Tribolium castaneum: one gene and its partner. The protein of the gene in region 2 binds, or shares a complex with, the protein of the main gene of each other region. Links are inferred from orthologs where the notes say so. Each region holds a gene or a part of one and is shown on either strand. Other genes may lie near its edges.

The links. Proteins that work in one complex are often made in the same cells at the same time.
Region 1: exosome complex component MTR3 (region 2) and exosome complex component RRP43 share a complex: the UniProt entries of both Homo sapiens proteins name them as parts of the RNA exosome core complex. The link is inferred for Tribolium castaneum from reciprocal best matches to the Homo sapiens genes EXOSC6 and EXOSC8.

The regions. Positions count from the first base shown.
Region 1 is NC_087402.1:7,982,106-7,985,345, forward strand, and holds exosome complex component RRP43, read left to right. Parts: upstream 1-1,532; 5' UTR 1,533-1,660; coding exon 1,661-1,677; intron 1,678-1,730; coding exon 1,731-1,905; intron 1,906-1,949; coding exon 1,950-2,244; intron 2,245-2,290; coding exon 2,291-2,411; intron 2,412-2,458; coding exon 2,459-2,666; 3' UTR 2,667-2,736; downstream 2,737-3,240. Other genes in the region: CycA (G2/mitotic-specific cyclin-A), read right to left, coding at 545-979, 1,035-1,181. UniProt on the Homo sapiens protein: Non-catalytic component of the RNA exosome complex which has 3'->5' exoribonuclease activity and participates in a multitude of cellular RNA processing and degradation events.
Region 2 is NC_087396.1:13,655,955-13,659,139, forward strand, and holds exosome complex component MTR3, read right to left. Parts: upstream 1,629-3,185; 5' UTR 1,489-1,628; coding exon 1,326-1,488; intron 1,272-1,325; coding exon 586-1,271; 3' UTR 561-585; downstream 1-560. Other genes in the region: X-ray repair cross-complementing protein 6, read left to right, coding at 1,930-3,185. UniProt on the Homo sapiens protein: Non-catalytic component of the RNA exosome complex which has 3'->5' exoribonuclease activity and participates in a multitude of cellular RNA processing and degradation events.

The sequences.
Region 1 (3,240 bases), on a different chromosome or scaffold from region 2:
AAACGGCCAAACTTGTAACAGTTTTGAAGTTATCTACAGAAATAATTTCTTTCTATTTTTGCATTTAGTAGCAATTTCTTCAGTCGCAGATAGAAAATAAAAAAAGCTTTTCAACGATCAATCTTAATAAGGTCGTGGAAAACAGTTCCGGAGTTATTGCCCGATAAATGCTCCGGGTATCGAAATCAACCAAAATTTTCGCAAAAATTGATAAATCTGATTTTATAAAACCGGTTCAATTGACGCTTTTGGCACATCTAAAGGCTCTAGAGAAAAGTCCACAAAAGATAGTTTTCAAGTTATAGGTAAAAATCGTAAATTGAAGTGTTCTCATGTTTTTAACATATCACAACGTAGAGTATGGAATATAATATACGAAATTAAAGCCATAATGAAATTTCCCGCCCCGAAAGTATTTCAAAAAAAGTCAAAGTTGTTAATAAAAAGGGCTTCAATCTGTTTTTTTTTTTTTAATTGAGAATAAATGTCAATGGATGTAAAAAAACTTGGAATAATTTTCTCGTCGTTCTTGAAGATACTTTACCTCATGTTCTTTGAGATAAGCAAAAATGCTATCCCTATACTCCTCCATTTCAAAAAAGACATCTCTAGCATTGGTATTTGTGGAAACCGTTTGCTCTTTGAGCTCAATGTTCTCCACATCTGATTTCTCAATGCTCATCGGAATCTCCGATTTTCTCTTAAGTTGAGGCGCAGTAATTTCCTTCAATTTCTCCAAATTCTTTTTCCTTTCAATTTCGGCAAGTTCTGTCTTCGTGATAAACCTGTCCTCGGCCGTCCCTTTATACACATTACTCTTACTGATAAGTTTGAGCCTTTCATCGATTCTCGCTCTGTATTCATCATCCTCATACACAGTAAACGCCTCAAACTGGGCCACCGGAACCACGACATTCTTCTTATTCTCGTTTTTTTGCCCATTTTCCACCCGGTTTCCCAAAACGGTTGGCTTCTTCGTCTGGCAAAAAAGCAAACGTTTTTCCCATCCAAAGTTACCTCCAACTGTTAATTACCTGTTTTCCTTTAAGGGCTGCGTTATTAACTTTATTACTGTCAATCTCGCCCAGAACGCCCCGTTTTTGCTGGGCAGTCGTTCCCGGTTTTCGGCGCAATTCCGGCACCCGGTTTTCCTGGTCCTGGTGAATTCTTATCGATGCCATTCCTCTAACACACGTGCAAGTTTCTAATACCCGAAAAACGAAAAGTTTGCTGAACCGAAGGCCAAACTGAACCCCAACTTAAACACCCAAGCTACCCCTAACCGACAAAACGACTGTTTTTAACGGCCAGATGCAAAGAGCGCAGAGTGCGGGAAACGAACAGCTGAGAGACCGTTGAAATGACAAACGGGACCAATGGGAGCCCAGATTTAAGCAACGTCACACGAGTGGGGATAACATGTTTTGAAGGGTTTAACGGAATTTTGCACTAAATCAAAAATCAATCGACAATACTTGTTCCCAACCAAATGCCCTATTTGCAAGCAAATGTCTTCATTACAAAAATTGCATTATTCAACCGAATTTACTCGTTTCAAATCAAACGTTTCCCCCACCGTTGTCGGCAACCAATCAAAACTAACGTCATTAATAATGTCAATTGTCAAAAACGAAAAACGTGGTTATAAACAAATTCAATAATGTCAGAACAATACAAGTAATAATTGTAGTACTGTGAATAAATAACAAGGTGATTATCCTATGTTTTAGGATTTTGCACCCCGTCAAGTACTTCCGCGACCACTTGGCCCACAAAATCCGACCTGATGGGCGCGAATTTGGGGAATATCGCCCCATCGTGGTCAATTTGGGCTCAATTTCGACAGCCGATGGGTCTGCGATTGCCAAAGTTGGTCGCACGACGGTAGTTTGCGGCATTAAAGCGGTGAGTGTAATTGGAGGCATTCAATTTGCTAAACCAAACCTTAGGAGTTGTGTCAGCCCAAGGCTGAGGCTGCAAACGAGGGGTTTTTGATCCCCAATGTGGAATTACCACCGTTGTGTTCGTCAAAATTTCGGCCAGGACCCCCAACTGAACAAGCCCAAGTAGCGACCCAGTTAGTTGCCGATATTTTAAAAAACTCTGATTGTTTAGACTTAAAAACGTTATGTATATTTCCAGACAAATTAGCTTGGTGTTTATATGCTGATTTAATTTGTTTGGATTTGGATGGGGCGTTGATAGACGCGTGTGTTGTTGCGTTAATGGCAGCGCTTAAGTCAGGTAAAGACAATATTGTTTTTTTGTGAAAAATATAATTGCGCTTCAGTTACTTTGCCAGCGGTTCAGTACGATCCAGCCCTTGACAACAAGCAAGTGAATGTGCAAGAGAGGAAAGCTCTTAGTGTTACCAACACTCCAATAGCAACAACGTTTGCAATGTTTGATGAGTAAGCTTATCATTGTTGTTGTAAACTTTTTAATTTTTTGATTGTAGTAAAATTCTCATAGACCCAACAGTGGATGAGGAGGACTTAAGTACGTCTTTGGTGACAATTGTGGTGAAGGAAGAAGAGTTGTGTTTTGTTCACAAGCCAGGTGGCTGTGTTTTTACGGAAGAGCAACTTTTAAAGTGTGTGGAAGAAAGTACAAAACGTGCAACTGTGATTGAGGAAATTATAGAAACAGCTTTTAAAAGTTTATAATAAAAACATTTTTTTTTATAAATGTATATCCTATATTATTTAAATAAAAATTTTAACAGGTTCCACAGTAGGTTGTGTGATCATTTAACCGAATTTAAAATTAAATCACCACACATTTATAAAAAAATCTATTGTCTTTGTTACAGGATTGAAAAAATAAAAATCGGGAAAAATCAACACTTTACATTTTAACGAGTATACATATTGGTATTGCCAAATATTCAACACGTGTCTGAATTTATGTACAAAAAATACGAAACATTGCAAATAATATACATTATTACAAAATACTACAACTCACCACATAATCACATATGATACAAATGTAGAGACTAAGGATGTTAGATATTTTTACAAAGTATTTTACACATTTCGTTCAAAAGGGAAATAAGTCTACTGTATGTACAGTTAAAAGTTTGCGCCTAGGACAGGAATGGTAGTAGAAAAATACCAGGAACAATAAATAATAGGGGTTTTAATAAAAATTTGTATATTTTAACAATGTGTAATTTTACATCGTTGATGTTTTATAAAGTATAACATTTTGTCCTCGTTTATGCCTGATATCTTAATA
Region 2 (3,185 bases):
ATGGTGTCCAGATTTTTTTAAAGAAAATTTAATTTTCTACAACTTTGTCCCATACACTGTTTTGCATCTTCAACCGTATTCCCAGCATTTTGATAAATATGGGACAGTGCGCAAAGAATTAACGCTCAATTTACGTTCCATTTTATATTTTTGCGAATGCTGCGAATATGGTTGAAGATACAAAAAATTGTAAAGAAGTAATTTTTTTTCAAAAAGTCTAGGACATCATATTTCTATACTTTCAACGGTTTAATTTCTGAATTTGACCACCACGGAGACCAAGAAAAAAATTAAAAAGGTATTATTTTTTATTCGTTTATTGTTTGAGCAAAATCTTAAATTCTTCCAATACTACTTTGAAGTGTATGTCAAGAAGTACTTCTCAGTATAAATTATATCGTGTTGAAAGTGTTTAAAAAAGACTGAATTACTAAAGTCTGTATTATTGGTTGCATAACATCCCAAAGTTCTCATACTTCGCGAATTTTTTTTTGTTTTTTTAACTCCATATTTGTAATAAAAATTCAACTTTAGTGCCTTACTTGACAGTGAAAAAAATATTTAAATAAAATATAATTTATTTCTTTAATCTTCAACAATTCTTACACTCTTAATAACATGTTTCACAAGACATTTCTTAACTAAAGTAACGATGTCCTTAGCAGCATTAGTAAGCATCTCAATGCCTGAACTCAAGCAAGCGTACGACAAATATCCACTCTGATAAAATTGTGAAATTTGCTCATGTGTCGCTAAAACCGACAGCACAACAATCCCGTGATTGTTTTCCTCTTCTTTAAACAGAGGAACTTGACATAAACGTTCTTCTTCTAAAGTTGGATCGACCAAAAGATGATTCCCTTGCACAGCTAAAGTCACTGACGTTATTAAATCATACATTGGAATCCCAGCATGTGCTAAGGCGACCCCAGCTGCCGTGATAGCCGCACTTAGAGCAGCCCCATCATTGTGCAGCACCATTGCGTAAATATCGACTTGAAAATTCGGAAACTCGTGCCTGAATACTGCCGATTCCAACGCTTGTTTCATAATAGCACTGAACTGTTGTTCCTCAGCGTCTTGCTGGTGCAACCTACGTTTGTGGCAGCTGAAGGGTGCAAATTTAAACTCGCAGTAGATTTCGCCCTTGGAACTGTAGTCAGTTTTGTTGGGTATCTCGCGGGGGTCGAATACAGACACGATTACTTTGGTTTGGTCTAATTCAATGTACGCTGAGCCTTTGGCCTGGCTAACAACCCCAGTTTTCAAGACTAGAAAATTAAAAATTAGATCAAGGAACACGCAAGGGCCTAAAGACAAATTACATATTTTTCGATGTTCGGTTGATGTCCTGCCATCGGCTCGTGTCCCATTCGGCTGCACTATTTCACTGAATTGGGTTTTCAACGATTTTGTATTTAATTTGTCGAATAGTTGGTACGGAATTGAAATTTCCGGACCGTTGATTCTTTTGTGATCCACGGGCATAGTGTATTTTGCAAATTATATTTTAAATCTCTCAGTTCAAGGTTATGTTAGAAAAAAGTAAGGTTATATAGCTAATTGTCAACCATTCCAAGTTCAAGGTTTACAAGTCTCACAAAGTCGAATAATAGAAAACACAATTAATTTAATTCTTTTTCATAAAAACTACGTTAGGCGCGTATTAATTTGTGCCGTTGTACAGCAACATATAGTTAGAGTAAATGTTAGACTTATTTATTCGCATTTTTGGATTTATGTTTTCTGGTGGTTCGCTTTCAAGGGGATTGTCAACAAAACGTCAAATTTGGCGCAACTTTGTGTAAACTTGTTGCTGTTGTTCTTTTTGATTGTTTACTGTTAATTAATTAATCAAGGTGAGAAATGTTACTACCTATTGATAATACGTTTATAAATAAAGATGTTTTATGAACTTATTCTTTTCAGATGTCAGATAACGAAGACGTAGGAGACGAATCTGCAAGTTCTAACACGTTTTACAAACCATCTTTCGTCCTCATTGCAATCGATACCGACCCTTCGATGTTTGTTAAAAACGAAAGCGATGGCAATACCCCGTTTAAGGATTGCATTTCTGCCTGTTATAATCTGGCAAATTCGCTAATATTTGTCCAAAATAAGCGAAGCTGGAGCCCTTTTGGTGTGGTATTGGCACGTGAAGATGCTTCAGCGTCGCTTGTCAATTTCAACGATAACATCTTACAATCAATAAAATTGCTTAAAGAAAAGAATGAATTGTCGCAGGAAAAATTGTTGGATATGTATGAAAGAAAAAGCGGCTTAAATTTGAGTTCATTTTTCCTCTTTTGCAAAAAAAAGTTCAAGGAAGTCAATTCGGTGTTCTACAAAAGAACGATCATTTTCATAACCAACGACGATAACCCCGTTCGTGGTGACAAGAACCAAAGATTTGCTGCACTTAACGAAGCAAAAAATTTCGAGTCTAATGATATCACTTTCGAGTTGGTGACCATGAAGCCCAACTTCGATTATAAAATTTTCTACAATGAGTTATTTTCAATCATTAAGAGCCCTCCCGTTGAGACAGTTGTGGAAGATGAAGATGGTTTATTTGAGAAACTTTCTTCCTCAGTTGTCAGGAGATTTTATCAAAGGAGGTTGCTGTTTTTCCCTTTTGCGAATGACCAAACACGGTTTCTTAAAATCAGGCAGAAGTCGTTTGTCCAAGAGGAACGACTTTACAACAACGCTTCCGTTTCCGAAAGTGGAAAACTTTTGAAAAAGGTTTCAAAAACAGTAAATGACTCCATTGAAACCTACAAGCTTGACTATGAGTTAGGCTCACTCGAGTTCAGTGTTAGTGAACGCTTCAAAATTAGAAACACAGACCTACCAATTGGTTACACCCTAGTTCAGGTGTCTGACAGGGTCACGGATGTGGGCATTGTTTTGACAAACCCGGTAATCATCGAGGTGGATCCTAAGGAAGAGCTGGACCTCTTTGCTAGTTTTTGGCAGTATTGTGTGGAAAAGAACAAAGTTCTTGTCTGTTTCCGAAAATTGAAAAAGCTTGATAAAATTTGTTTCGTGGAATTTATCCCGAAGTTTATGAACAATAGCAGGGTTTTTGTCGCTAAAACAATTCCATTCAATGATGATCACCAACCCATCCCAAGTGCTCTCGCCTCTGAGGAGCCAAACGAAAGTTTTTCCAAGAAAAT